Xenopus tropicalis: one gene and its partner. The protein of the gene in region 1 interacts with the protein of each later gene in a biochemical or structural test. Links are inferred from orthologs where the notes say so. Each region holds a gene or a part of one and is shown on either strand. Other genes may lie near its edges.

Region 1 (8,148 bases):
AGTTAGACTTCCTTATTAACCACAGTACAATATTTTGTCCCCAGAAGCACTTGATTATATTGAAGGAATTACACAGATTCCATTGTACTCTGAAACTAAAAGTGCACTTCAAAACACAAGTGGATTTAAACCCAAGTGTACTTTTGAACCTCATTATACCTATGCATAAAAAAATGTATTCTCTAACTGACTAATCAACACTAATCCAGCGTTGTTGCTTCCCCTATCAACTAGATCTCCCATTGTACTGTAATGGAAAGTCCAGACATGGCCTCTTATATAAGCATGAACAGTCTGGAAGCAAAACAACTTTCCCAGCTATCTCAACAATCTGCAAAACAAGATTTATGGTAACATTAACTTCTGGACATAAACATCTTTAACATGGGCACAGAACTTAATGCAAAATGAAAACACATAGGGACATGCTCATACAAGCTCACTCTCAACATCCCCACCTTTTTATGAGACCCAACAGGAGCTCCATGGTGATTGCAGTTACAAGGGCTAGCAACCAAAGTGGTCCCCTGTTGAAGAGACTTTTACATTTACACAGCAGAACCAACTGCAAAGCAGCAACAAGGACATAGACACATATAGTGGTCTAATTTTGTCCAGGATATAACACACAGTGGGATTCCCAAAAGATGGCAAGTAGGAGAACATTTTAATCTTTCATGATTCATTTTATGTGTTTGGCTTGTGTATTGTATTGTTGGGTGACTCTTAAGGTTGACAACACTGTAAGTGCCAGACATGCGTCTTTATGGTGCTGATCTTAGGTGTCCGTATTCTCTTCTACTCAGTGGCAGAACTAGAAACTTAAATTGTCCCAAAACTTTGGGAGATTTCTCTTTATTGCACTGTGTTATCAGTTAGGCCCTTACACCTTCTTCCTCTACACCCCTGCATATTCTGCAGAGGAATAGATTGAGACCTAAGAACTTAGGACTGGGGTTTTAAAAGAGTTTCTGTTGTATTTCCAATATAAAAATAGCATTACTATTCCAAAAATATACACACAGGTTATTGGCTCCTGATAAAATTAACCATAGTTTGTGTGTGTGTATGCCATGGGCACCTTAGACTGGGGCAGGGACTGATGTGAGAGATGCATAATTTTTATTTATAGTTAGGTTAATGAACATTTTTCTAGAAAAGTGAAAAAATATATATGTTTTATATAAGCTTTTTTTAAAGTGTGTTCCCGCCAAAAAAGTATAGGCATGTTCTATATGCCCAAAAAGTACAACCGTTATAATTAAAAGTGGCAAGTATTCATTGCAAAACAGTGTTGCCCAGGAGTATTGATTACTGATACTGATACTGGTTATTTGCTCCATGGATTTATAAAGCATACTGCCCAACGCTGTTTCAGGGTTAAGTGCCACCCTGAGGGGGCCAGGTCAATGCTGCTTTTTCCTGACAGAGCTGGTCGGGGGGGTTGCATTGCTAGTGCAAGAGTGCAATAGAAGAGCCAACTCAGAATCAGAATTTCATCTCCTTATGTCACTAGGAGTGGCTTTACTCAACCCTTGGTAACGCTCAGGGCACTGCCACCTGAGGTGAGTTTCCTAGCCAGCTTTATGGCAGTAGTGCCCCTAATACCGTCAGGCACTGTCTTATAGAAAAAGCAAGTCCATTGTATACAAATATATATTTATATAGGACACTATTGGAAATGGCACTAATATTTTTGGATAACAAATTTCCAGATAACAACTCCTGTATCTGCAGTTTCTATAGCTACTATTGGGGGCTCAGAATATATAGGGGCCCCAGTGAGGCGCTGAATGATAAGTAGTAAGATAAGTAGTATTTTTTAAAAAAAATGCCTTATTCCCACATTTTAGGGGGACCCTGAAATGATTTTGCTGTGGGGCCAGTAACTTCTAGTTCCGCCACTGAACAGAAGACAAAACATCAGCTACTGGAGCATTAGAATGAATGCTGGAGAATGGCAGGGAGGAGGGGACAGGGGATTCCTGGGCAGAAGGCACTATTACCAGGGAAAAAGGAGCCAGGAGAGAGTTACACAATTACATAGGGCGATAGGGCTCCTATTGACCTATGCTATACTGATTTCTTTCTAGTTAATTGAATCTTTGCCACTTACAAATGAACCAAAGTGCCAATGAAGCTGGAACCCACTTGCAGGGCCAGAGTTAGAAAAGGGTCCCTAGGAATCTGAGAGGAGCTACCGACCGGCAGCCCTCCGGCTTTTGTTAAACTATAATTCTCTAATGACATTGAAAGCTGCAGGGTGAACATCGCTATTATACACCAGACAAACTGTCATTATCTTCTATGTGTTTTTATCAATACTGTGCAGGGACCCCAGGCAAATGGCCCTAAAACAGGCCCTGACTAAGCTTTACATTGAAGCCACAGGTTAGAGACCACCCCCGCCCCCCTTGTAAAGCCGCAGCCTGCTTATCCCAAGAGCTGGTGGGGGCGGGCTAACCGTACAAGACACGCCCCCTCCCTCCCCTCCCTCCCACACATAGTCTCTCCCCAGCCATTCCCCTTCTCATTAATAACACTGCTGGATTCCTCAATCCCTCATAATCAGGGGGGATATCCAGTCAGGTTGCAGCTATTGCCGGGCGAGAAGGGGAATCGCTAGGACTGCATATGCCCCCTCACTCCAACCCCCCCATTCCCCTTTATCAACCCCTTCCCAGCACTGGAATAGAGAGTGTGCAGCCCATTGGCAGCCCTGCTGCTGCTGCTGCTGGCCTCAGCCTCCCCACCTTCCCTCCTTTAATTGTTCACGTTTTTGGGTGATTTCTTTTTTCCCCTCTGTGGCCACTGGCGTCTGGATATCAAGGCATCAAGAGGAGGAGGGAGGCTGCCAGGCGAGGGCCAAGCACTGGATCAAGGCACCCCCTCCCCACCTTAACCCCTGCTAGTCCTTTCCCCCCACAATGCCGTCTCCTAGGACAGATGTTGCAGCTGGAATCGCATTGGGATTACTGTATTGTTGCTTGCACGTTGTTGCGACCTCTGTCAACGATGGTGAGTAGAAGTCCTGCTTTGTGCTGCGCCTGTAACCGAGCGGCTTCGGGACTGGGCAGAGGGGGAATGGGGTAAAGGTTTCTCTGTGCTGACATCCCTCACTGCAGGCCTGCAAATCGGATCGCACTCTCAGGAATGGGAACGCTAGGATGGCTGTCTGTAACACACACACACACCTATTCAGCCCTGACACTGAGCGATATTCCGTTTCCTACATTCTATGCCGCATTCATACCATAAGGTTCGACTACATTTCCCAGAATTCCCTGTAGTGTATGTGCCCAGGTCGGCCCTTACCGTTATGGCTTTGCAGGCCACTTCAGTTTGTGACGAGGTTTCTTCCTCAGATGAAATAGAGCAATGTTAGGAACTGTCTTGTTATATTGTAGCAATTGGATCTAATCTGTTCCAGAGGTGCCCCTTTCTGCCAGAGGGGGAGGGGTGATTTGTTTTGTTTCTGGCCAAGTGAGGGTCTTTTCTTCAGTCATTGCAAAAATTTGGTTTGAGGAATAGGCCCCTCTGATTGCAAAGCTTCCATACACAGCTCTGGTTTCTTTCTATTGCTCTGTGTGGTTTCATAATGGATGGAAATTCTAAATGATCCACACATGGTGGGGGGGAATCAGCCCTTCTCTTGCCTGCCTGTGTGTGTATCTCATTAAATCAATGGCTATCCCTTTTTATTGATTAGTTATAACGCATCTGACGTATGGGCTTGCCATCTAACAATCGTGCTATCTATTTATAAACACTATTTACGCAGCCAATTTCTCATTATCTATACAGAATTACTTTTTTTTTTTTTGTGGTCGTGTGGAAATTGTACTCAACCCTTTTGCCTCTTGCATTGTATTGAATCCAATTGAATTCACCCAGGTTGCACAATGAATTGCTTTCTGGGATTTCTTCCCCTTGGAAATGCTGTCATGTGTGCCTGTGTGGGTTAAACCAGTGCTCCCAATCCCATCCTAGAAATTGTAGTGCTAGCCTGTATGTGAGTTAGTGATGCAGAAAAGCAATCTAGGTGGATATGAAATATGCATGTCCATAGGCCCAGTGTGAGTGGCATGTGAGCTACCTTTATATTCTGCAGCCTTGTACAAAGGGGCCGTGTCAGAAGCAGTGGGCATGAATGTTATGGTATATTTCTTTGTCAACAGTATGGCGTTTGATTCTGTGTATTTTTTTTTTTTTTTTTCTCCTTAATGGCATCACTTGGAAACGGTGAGGGTTGTTGACGAGGGAAACAAGGCTGACATTGTGAAGGCATCTCCATTTGCTATTTGCAAACCTCATCTGCAACCACATCAGCGGCTTCCTCTCTACACAGTGGGGCTGCAGTGCGCCTCCAGTGCGTGACATGGCATTTAACACAGGCAGGGACAGAAGGGGAGATTCATTGGATAGGGTCTTGTTTGCGAGCCAGATGTTAGAGGAGTCCGCTGCATGATCTCATTCTTGCTATGATGGATTTGGCTAACTTCTTTTTTTTTTTCCCCTCCACCTCATCCATTCTGAGTACTAAAGATTCCGGCAAATATTCCAACGCAGTAACCAAAATCGGCTTTAAATTTGGACTTTTGCTGGTGTATGAAATGTAAACACATCACACACACACATATTGTGTTTGCTTGTAAGCTGCTTGTTGCTGAAGAAGATAGCAGTACAGGTATGGGATTTGTTAACCGGAAACCCTTTATGCAGAAAGTTTTGAATAATGAGAAGGATATTTCCCCTAGACTCCATTGTAAGCAAATAATTCTGATTAAAAAAATCCCTTTTCTCTGTAATAATAAAACAGAACTTTGTACTTGATGGTAACTAAGCTTAAAAAACCCTTCCTAATAATCCTAATAAGTAATGGTTAAGTGATGTTTTAGTAGACTTAAGATGGCCATACACGTTACAAACCTTGTTTTGTATGGTAATATCGGTACCGGTACATGTATGGGCTCCCTTAAGGTATGGAGCTCTAAAAAAAAATCCCTTACCAGAAAACCACAGTTCCCAAGCATTCTGGATAACAGATCCCATGCCTGTATTATGAAAAATAAGCTTTGGCCACTTTGTCCTCTTTGTTTCTCTCCCCCCCCCCCCCCCCCCTTGATAGCGATTTCAAAACTGGGTCAAGATCAGAACAAATAACAGCATCATAGAACAGCAACTGAATGCACTTGTGTAATAGAAGCTCCAATGAGCCCTGATTTATTTTTGCACCTATAACAACTAGTGGACTGCTAGGCTTGTTGGTTTTATCTAATTTTCTCATATATGTCCATATTGCCGCGATCTACTGTACCGTTGGCTTGGGGCTTTATCAGTTAGCACGATAGCTACTATCAATTGCCGACCTTAATTATACAATTACTATAAAAGACTGACATTCTAAAATACAAAGAGGAAGGGTACAATTGATGGATTATATGATAGTGTTCTATTTTGTTTTTTTCCATGCGTCATTGAGCGCAGCTCTTGTGTCTCATATTGATACAGGTGGTGGCCTGGTCATTTTTACAGAGTATAAACCAGTGCTGTGCAATTATATTTACTATACCCAGTGTTCTGGGAACAAAGATTTCATACAAAGCAACAACAGGAACCCTTTGGCAGGTTGGGACCCATGAGTATTGGACTGAGGGTCATATTTAACCTGTGAATTTCATTCAGATAGTCCTGTTACAGGCAGCAGATGTATTTGTAGGGCTGTTGCAAGTGGTATTGTATCTGACCCTAGCAATTGGCTAGAACTGTGATCTGCAATTAGTGGCTTGTGAGCAATATGTTGCTCACCAACCCACTGGGTGTTGCTCTCCGTGTCTTCAAAGTAGGTGCTTCTTTTTGTATTCCTGACTTGAAGGCAAGCTTTAGTTGCATCAAAACTGTGTACTGCCAAACAGAACTTTCTGTAGGCTGCCAATCTACATAGGAGCTACCCATATTTTTCAAGGAACCTTTTGCATGCTTGTGTTGCTCCCTGACTCTTTTTACATTTGAATGTGGCTCACAAGTAAAATAGGTTGGGGACCCCTGAGCTAGAACTATAATTGGTAATGGAGGAGGCATTCCCTGTAAGAGGTGGAATACAGACATAGTATGTGGGTATGGGGGTATTTGCCTAGGTTATAAAATATATGGGACATATCTATATTAGGCCTCTTGACTTCTCATGGATCAAGTTATGTGCAGCATATAGCAATGAAGGCCTCCGTGAAAGAGGACTTAAGGTCCCCATACACGGGCTGATTCTAGCTGCCGATATCTATCCCTTAGACTGATTGGGCAGCTAATCGTCCCGTGTATGGGCACTACCGACGGGCCTGCCGAACCGATATCTGGCCTGATATCGGCCAGATCTCGATCGGGCAGGTTAAAAAATCTAGTCGGATCGGGAACCGCATCGGCCCGATCTGCTCGCTTGGCGTATACACACACATATATATTATATAATATATATATAATATATAATTATTTTTTTTTTTTTAACCACCAATGGCACCCAGCCTTGCTTGGAAATTCTTCCTTCAACTTGTAAGCAAGGGCCCAGCTGAGAACAAGAGCCCCCTGTAATCTGAAAACCTCTTTAAAACTAGACAAATAATGACATGTATCTATTGAGGACTTATTATCCATTCTCATATATGTCTGAATTTGGGGAGGTGCCAGAGCTTTAACGGATTTGCCAACAGTCCAGGATGATGGAATGTGAAGAGATCAAAAACCAAACTTTGACTGTATATGGATACTGTAATTGTGCAACCATATGCACTGGTAAAATGCTATGGGCAAACATGATTTTGGCCTTTAGTTGCTCTTAGATACCAGTGGTTCCTAAACATACTGTGTTTGACTGTACAGTTTCCAGAGTACATTTTAGGGATTGAAGGGTAACTTTCTAATATCAAGTTGGTGAATAGGTTTTTGGAGAGTTTATTACATGGATCTGTTAAATAAATTGGACTGTTTGTTTCAATAAATTCTTCATACCCTCTATTAATTAAATTGCCTTTTTATATACTTGTTCTCTATGGCTTTATATAAAAGGGGGGAGGTGCAAGTCTCCCAAGTGTGTGTAAAGCTGGCCATACACGGACTCGCCAAGCGAGCGGATCTTCCCCCGATATCCCCACCTACGGGTGGGCGATATCGGGGAGAGTTTAGGTAAAAAAAAAATTATTTGATCGTTTGGCCCTGGGGCGGCAATGGGGCAGTCTGTTTGGGGACCGCATCAAGGAGCCGATGCGGTCTCCGATCCGACTGGATTTTCTAACCTGGCCGATCGATATCTGGCCAATTTCAGGCCAGATATCGGTCGGCCAGGCCCCTCGTTTCTGCCCCTACATGGGCTGATAAGCTGCCGAGTCGGTCCAAGGTACCGACCTTAGGATATCTTCACTAAGACATTACCCAGTGTAGCTCCACTTATAACTTTTTGGAATGAACCATGGACTAACTACTATTTCTATGTGGTTCTTCAGACTATTGTCTTTATGTTTAAATGTAAAACTCCAAAATCTGGTTCAGCACAGCCAAAACTTTTTGCGCAATATTGTGTAGAATGATATAATCGGTCTGTGGGTGATTTGGTTTCAGATTAAGCTGTTAGGCACAGAATTACAAACAAACAACCACTGTGTATAGAAAGCAGTTGAACCTCTTTGATCCTATATGTATAAACATGTGTTGTTACATCAGTGGAATACTTTAACTGCTTTATACCATGTGAGGCATGTTCTTTGAATGTATAGTTCTATCTCATATGGTTCTTATTTTAGTTGTAAAGCAGCAGTAGTTTTTGAGTACACAGGGAAAACTTGGATCTTATGATATAGAGGTATAGGTATGAGATCCATTATCTGGATAGCAGTTATATTCAAATTTTAAACAATTCAGTATGTACAGTACAATTTTTTTTTTTTTTTTTAACCCTGAACCCTATGTCCCATAAACCCTACTACATTAGTTTATTAAGCTGTAATAGCTAGGGCCCTCTATCTCTTGAAACAGTTAGGATTTGTATGTCATTTGTATGTTGGCACTTTATAAATATGTGCCTGTAATATTTCCACTCTGAACAATGATTCATATAATTGTGATAATCTGCAGCTTGAAATTAACAATGTTTCCTGGTTG
Region 2 (8,047 bases), on another chromosome or scaffold:
CGATATCCCCATCTATGGGTGGCGATATCGGGGAGGCATGTCGGTGAATTCGATCGTTTGGCCCTGGGGCCAAACGATCGAATTCTGCAAGCAGCAATGGGGCAGTCGGTTCGGGGACCGCATCAACGAGCCGATGCCGTCCCCGATCCGACGGGATTTTCTAACCTGGCCGACCGATATCTGGCCAATTTCAGGCCAGATACCGGTCGGCCAGTCCGATAGTTTCTGCCCCTACACGGGCCGATAAGCTGCCTAGTCGGTCCAAGGGACCGATATCGGCAGCTTCTATCGGCCCGTGTATGGGGACCTTTAGAATTCGTTTTGTAACCTTTTTCAGCCTGATGAGCATTTCGGGGGTTCTCAGAAATCTTTGTTTAAGCCATGACTCACTTCCATAAACATGTGTTGTGTAGATCGGACTTGGATAGTGAAAAGCCAGATTTCAGTACTTTAAATAAGGCAGGGTCTCCCACACTCCCACCTGATTATTATCCCATTCAGTGAAACAATAGCTCTCATGTCCCCTCCAAATGAACTCAGGGTCATAGAGGGTGATATACTTTTGCCAACAAATATGCAACTTTTTCTTCAGTAAAGCATTATGTGCTTGATTCATGTATGTATGTATGTATAACTTTATTTTTAAAGCGCCACAAGGGTACGCAGCGCTGTACAATCTTACAATATACACAATTACACACAGGGAGGACAAGTCTTATAATAAATACAATAAATATGCATAAATACACAGGGAGTAAGTGCCATGTGGTATGAGAGACAGTAGGAAGAAGTTCCCTGCCCCGAAGAGCTTACAATCTAAGTGTATTTGTTTAACTGGGTTCTTATTCCTTGGGTTTATAAGAATCGGGTCATATTTTAGGTTATAATTATGGAGAAATGTCACAAATCACAAGTCACAAATGTAAAAAAAAGACACTGTACGTTAAATACCTTTAAAAGAATAGATGGATGATGTTTTAGCATGGGAGAACAGGCATGAACTCTTATAATACAACATTTATATAGAGATGGATCTGACTTCTGTATGTTAGCGGGGAAAGAAGAACTAATAGGAATAAAGGATTAATGGACATCTTTTCTCAGCCATGGCTAATATATAAAACAATGGCAGTCTGAGGCAGGCTCATGGGTTATGTAGTTAAGTAGTTAGGTAATTAACTGGTGCTGGATGCCCCCTCGTTGCTTACATGGGTACCATAAACAGTAAAAGATGCACAGTTTACTTTAAAGCGATACTGAAACCAGAAATGAAACCTTTTTTTTTTTACATCTATCATAACATTGCCGTTGCATTCTATATATAATTTTGCCTTAAAGGTATTTGCCCAATGTTTTCTATGAGGGGGCGGCTGTATTTGTGCTGCAGTAGTCCCTTAGAATTAGAAGCTGTTACTGACAGGTTGAGATGGGGCAGTCAGGTTGGTTAGTTTTATATGCTGAAACCCAGCTGCAAAACAGTTCTTTTCTTTCTCACCATTTGAAATCCTGGCAGGGGAGGAGGGACTAAAACATTGATGTTACAAATTCTCCTTCTGAACAACTTCTTCACAGCTTACAGACAGCATGCAGGAACTACATAACCAACAATGCAATGCACTGTGATGTGTGATCATGTGTGCAGGGAATTGTGGGATTGGGAGGATGCAGGCTGAAGGCATTGTAAGTGCAGAAATCTAGTCCAGTCTGCGCATGTATCCAGCTTCTAAATAACAGTATCCAATGCAGGATTTCTACACTTGATATGGCCATGAACTGGACTTCCTTTCACACTTTATATATACAATTCCTATTTCCGCTCCTCTATTCATATCCACCTAGCTGAACAGAATTTTAGACAAACAGAATATCCTGAAGCTAAAACGGAATTTTCCTGGAACATTACCAATCCATAGGGCAGGAACACAGGGGAAATACCACCCATGTGGAGCTTAAGGATCTCAGCAAAATCAGGGGTCCTTCTAATAAATGCATACTGTATTTCTGGTCTGTGTGTTTAACAGCAGAAAACAATTATTGAAACAATGCTTTGTGTCCATAATAAGCGACAACTATGGTGTACACCTGTCAATGTGTATGGGGGCTCGATTTTGGCCCCAAAACGATATTTTAGGGTCAGTCTACCTCTGTGCACAGTGACCTGTGGATACCATAGATGTCCCTTATAATGGACACTGGGTAGTAGAGAAATCACCTAGTGTGACATTAGACTCATACTTCCCAGAAGTAAACATAAAAAGATGTATTTTGTCTTACTCATTGTGTGTACTCATTGTGCATACAACTGTACTACATTATTATGTAGGCATGGCGGGTTGCAATCTTCGTTAAGCAATTGGGTTTTCCATATCTTTTCCTAAGAATTTACACAGCCAGAAAATGCATTTGTATTAACGGGCAGATTAACTCCACGTGTGGGGGTGGTTTCTTTTCATTTTTATTACCCACTTAGGGCTCTGGCACACGGGGAGATTAGTCGCCCGCGACAAATCTCCCTGTTCGCGGGCAACTAATCTCCCCAAAATGCCGTCCCACCGGCGAAAATATAAATCGCCCGCAAACAGGGAGATTTGTTGTGGGCGACTAATTTCCCCATGTGCCAGAGCTCTTAGGGCAAAGAAAATGCATCATGTGACATTAGTTAGTTTCTGCCCCAGTAGAGCTTACAATCTAATGTCCCCATCACTCTCACTATAGTCAGCTAGCCTGCCTGTATGTTGTTGGAGGAAACTGGAGTAGAGTAGAAACCCCACATAGACATAGGGAGCATACAAACTCCTTACCCCTGTCTGGAATTGAACCTAGGACTCCAGTGCTGCAATGCATCAGCGCTTAGTGAGTCTGCAGCTCATGTTCTGAGGCCAAATGCTAAATTCTAATCAGAAGGGCCCTGCCAGCCTTCAAAGAGTTTAATGGGCAAGTAAAGGGTCCAAGTTAATACATGCTTGTTTTTGTAGCATTAAGGCATAAGGCAACCCTTTGCCATAGGATCTATAGATTGACCTTTACATTTTTTAAACAGCAGTTTTTTTCCCTACAGTTTTACATAGTCAAATCCTTATGGAAGCACGGTGCCAAGGAATGCTTGACAAACAGTAATAATCCTTTAGAATTACTCCCAGCTGGACTCCCTAAGCAGCAGCCTATGCTTTTCTGCAAGTCACTGGGTCCTGTTTGTTTTTCCTTCTTTCACTTTTTTTCCTCCCCTCCATCCTGATCCTGTTTTATTGCACACATTATCTCTATATCACTTCTTCACACTTTTTTACAACCTCCACCCCCATTTTTATGGCTCAATTTTCACTTGAATGCCCAGACTCTGCCACCCTCTCTTCCTCCCCTACGCCCTGGAGCCCATTATTTTGAGACAGACACTGTTATTTTCCTGTATTTTTTGCCATGGGGTTTCCGGTTATTCATTGAAAGAGAAAGTGAGCAGCGGGAGGTATAGAAATAATAATTCAGAGTGTGGAAAAAAAAAAAAGGTCACTTGCTCTTGAACTCATTAAATCTGCCTTATCACGGAATTGTGACCTCATCTCCCACTGACACAAATACCAAGTAACCCACCCCTTGCATTAAATTCCCTTATAAAGGAGCTGAGTGATAGCTGCACTCACTTCATTTCAGGAAGGGACACTACGTGGAACTTGAGCCTCTTTGTGGTGACACAAGGTGAGAGATTTTCTTTTTATGAAACAATATGGGTGCCGTCTGAACACAATGTATTCTGAGATCCAGTGCTGTGATGGGGAATTAATGTAAAATATACTACTTTTTCCTGCTCTGTATCTCAGTTTATAGGGGGATCCCCAGTGTATATCCCATTTATACAATAGGGCTTTTCTCTGCTCTGTATCTCAGTTTATAGGGGAATCCCCAGTGTATATCCCATTTATACAATAGGGCTTTTCTCTGCTCTGTATCTCAGTTTATAGGGGGATCCCCAGTGTATATCCCATTTATACAATAGGGCTTTTCTCTGCTCTGTATCTCAGTTTATAGGGGGATCCCCAGTGTATATCCCATTTATACAATAGGGCTTTTCTCTGCTCTGTATCTCAGTTTATAGGGGGATCCCCAGTGTATATCCCATTTATACAATAGGGCTTTTCTCTGCTCTGTATCTCAGTTTATAGGGGGATCCCCAGTGTATATCCCATTTATACAATAGGGCTTTTCTCTGCTCTGTATCTCAGTTTATATGGGGATCCCCAGTGTATATCCCATTTATACAATAGGGCTTTTCTCTGCTCTGTATCTCAGCTTATGGGGGGATCCCCAGTGTATATCCCATTTATACAATAGGGCTTTTCTCTGCTCTGTATCTCAGCTTATGGGGGGATCCCCAGTGTATATCCCATTTATACAATAGGACTTTTCTCTGCTCTGTATCTCAGCTTATGGGGGGATCCCCAGTGTATATCCCATTTATACAATAGGACTTTTCTCTGCTCTGTATCTCAGCTTATGGGGGGATCCCCAGTGTATATCCCATTTATAAAATATGGGTTTTCTCTGGTCTATAAGTCAGTTTACGACTTCCAGAAACATGATCGTAATAGGCAAAGTGCCATAGTTCCAGTATCCAGGCAAATGAGAACTCACCCACAAATCTTTCCCTGTCCTTCAGACTGCGTCCCCTATCAACTATATGTAATCCTCCTGTAAGGCCCCACAGTTTATATATGTGAAAATAAACTCCTAATCCCGCATTCTCACCATAATATGCCCTACAACGTCTATTTTAAATACAATATCAGACATCTTCTTTGTGCCATTTCTGTGTACTCTGGCAGACTCCGTGGGCATTCCTCTTGCTTGCTTGTTGTTTGATCTAAGGCGATCTGTAGTGGTTACCAGACCTGGAGGAAACCAGCCATTACTGTAGCCCCTTGGAAGTTTAAAGTACAGGCACCACACCCCAATAGCCTTTGGCTTCCAGAGACTGGTGGAAGTTACAGTTACTGTTGTAACTTGCTGTGTGTTGCCTGCCAGCCATGACTAAAGCATACACTGGCCGATTCTTGTAGGTATTTAATTTAATTTTATTTAATAGAAATATACAAGTTAAAGTGGCTTTGCAGGCTGAAAATAAGCATTTGTGAAGAAAATAAAGTAAAAGAGATATTCCCTAAGAGAAGATCTAGAAGCAAGGGATCTGCCTCAGTATCTTGTGTTCTCTGTGGAGAAGTCACTTAGCTCTATATGTAATAAAAGGCACAAAGTTTGCCTAGGAGCAGTAACCAATCTCAACCAATAGGATGTTTGCTTTTTAACAGGTGACCAGTAAATGCTACCTGCTGATTGGCTGCTATGGGTGAATGCTCCTGGGCAAAGTTAGTGCTTTTTATTACATAACCCCCTTTTGCTTTTAGTAGAAGGGACTGAGTGCTGGAGAGATGCTGATTTTTTAAAATTATTTTTAACATGTCAGAACTGTTACAACACGCTATAGTATTAGCTAATATTACGGGGCATATGAGTTGCCTTCCTGTCCTGCATTAGCTTAGTAACTGCTCCCTGGACTGGGAAAATATTTGTGTTTTGTGCAAACGTTTCATTTTAACGTACAAAAATATATTTCCCTTTTTATGTTGGTTGTTGACTGAGTGGGATAGTGTAAATATTTAGTGTAGTTATCTACGTGGGACGCGTTGGTGCATATTTGTGCTCTTGGGAGCTGTTTGCAGATAACCCTTGTGCGAGGATAAGATAACCCCTAATGCTGCAGAGAAAGATCACACACATGGCAGGCAATGCACAAGATAAAGCCTTCTTCATGGTAAATATTATTATAGGATGAATGCTGCCAGAAACAACTCTGATATAAGACACGGGAATGGGTACAGATATGTTTTACAATTTAGTTTGGCATTTGTAGTTGCTTTTGTTGGATTATGAGCATTCGAATGCTCTGATTGGCTCCAGGTTACTTAAAGGTCCCCATACACGGGCCGATTGTAGCTGCTGATATCGGTCCCTCAGACTGATTCGGCAGCTTATCGGTCTGTGTAGGGGCAGCAACGACTGGCCTGCCCGACCGATATCTGGCCTGAAATTGGGCAGATATTGATCGGGCAGGTAAAAAGATTTAGTCGGATCGGGGACCGCATCAGCTCGTTGATGGGGTCCCCGAACCGACTGCCCCATTGCCGCCTTTATAATTTGATTGTTTGGCCCCAGGGCCAAACGATCGAATTAGCCTACATGTTCCCTAATATCGCCCACCCGTAGGTGTGTATGGGCACCTTAAGTCTTTAGATTCTGATTGGCATTAGTTTAAAAGGCAAGAAACCAATCCTGGACCATATCAGGGTACCCAAACTTCACAAGAGCTTTGGCTCCCAAGCTGTCTGTGGTGTGCGTGATCCTGTTTCTAGACTTAGAGATCAGATCCAGATGTAAGATTATTAGTCTGACTTTAATTTAGACTTAGATGGAAATGATCACACATTTTGTTCTGTACTGACTGAATGGTAAAATAGAAATAACACGGTGTTGCTCTTTCCATTGAAGGGTGCAGATCTGGCTGGCACCCCATCTTTGGCTCCTGCTGAAAGGCTTTCCATGGAAGGCAATAGGAAGTGACCTTTGGCATTTTCCAACAATTGGAATGCTGCTACTCAGTAGAAATAATCAAAATGTTGTGTTCTGTTGTGTGCGGATTGAATTTGACCAAAGATATAAGTTTGACAGTGACGACAGGAGGGAGCAGATCCTTACTGTTGAACTAGTTGTCCTGACCTCCAGGTGTCATATAGGACTATAGTGGGAATAAGAAAGGGCTGATGAGAATTGTCCTTGGCTGGGTCCCATTAAGGCCTGGGGCTAGAACCCTTGCCATAAATCAAGACAGGACAGTTGTTGCTTGCCCGAAAGGAAGTAAGCTTTGATACTCACAGAAACAGTGACTGTAAGCTATTGAGCAATGAGGTGCACAGTGTGTTAGAATGTCACTACATGACACAGTATTACACACTGGTTTCAGGTATTGGGCATGGCTTATTCTAATGGCACTATCCCTTTAGGATGAAGATACACAGAGCTACTAGTAGCAGCTACTTGTTGTGGCTACTAAAATAGACAATGCTGATAATTGTCTCTACGTGTGTTTTAGCAGAGGCAATTCTCTGTATTGTCTATGGCAGGGGATTTTCAGGTGTTTAGCTGCTGTGACAAGTAGTTGCTACTAAGTAGCTCCGTGTGTCTTCACCCTTAAAAGTAAGCAGTAAAGTGAAAAAATGAAACATTTAGAAATGTCTTTGCTGATCCCATTGCTTTATAATCCTGGCCCAGGGCCCTCACAAGTTACACCAAAACATGAAGATACTTAATACACAGTTTCAGGCCTGTATTAATGTGCAATTGATACTGATTTCTCCATATATGCAGTCTGGATATGGCTCTCCCTAACATATTCTGTCGTAGATTTATGGTGCTGGATTTCTTTGCGATAATAGACTAAATGGGGGGGGGGGGGGGGGGGGGTAGTAATGAAATTCCTGAAAGATTGTCTAACTATAGGCTATGTCCACGTGATGGTCTCCTGGAGTGTTATGGTTACAGCGCCTGCAGGCAATGATTTGCTTGTGGTTTAGGTGCTACAATGCACACTCACAATGGGGGACATTCCTGAATCACAGATGCCTGGTCCCAATGCAGCAAACTAGGCAAGGGGTGGGTGCATTAAACGGTAACTTTTCCTTATTCTCTTCTATTTAGCTTATATCCTTCCAACAATACATATTGTGATGATGTTGCGTTATAGGAGAACCACAAGTTGGTATATGGTATATGCCATGGTGGGTTCATTTATTATGAAACTGAGGGGCAGTGGATACAGACTGAAGAAGAACATTCTAGGAGATACTTTGATCTTGGAAATATTAGATAACTTATTGGTAGGAATGGTTATTAAATAAAGGGCAAGATGGCACAGATTCTTCTTCATTGCACAAAAAAAGCAGACAAAAAGTGTTGGCAATGTACAGCAGTGCTGTGTTTATGAGGGGAAATGTGGTTGCCC

Evidence for each region.
Region 2: the proteins of lrp1 (region 1) and plat form a complex in vitro, tested with the Homo sapiens proteins (2 studies listed by BioGRID). The link is inferred for Xenopus tropicalis from reciprocal best matches to the Homo sapiens genes LRP1 and PLAT.

What each region holds. Positions count from the first base shown.
Region 1 is NC_030678.2:139,398,863-139,407,010, forward strand, and holds the start of lrp1 (prolow-density lipoprotein receptor-related protein 1), read left to right. Parts: upstream 1-2,524; 5' UTR 2,525-2,927; coding exon 2,928-3,018; intron 3,019-8,148. UniProt on the Homo sapiens protein: Endocytic receptor involved in endocytosis and in phagocytosis of apoptotic cells. Required for early embryonic development. Involved in cellular lipid homeostasis.
Region 2 is NC_030679.2:130,556,010-130,564,056, reverse strand, and holds the start of plat (tissue-type plasminogen activator precursor), read left to right. Parts: upstream 1-3,649; 5' UTR 3,650-3,693; intron 3,694-8,047. UniProt on the Homo sapiens protein: Converts the abundant, but inactive, zymogen plasminogen to plasmin by hydrolyzing a single Arg-Val bond in plasminogen.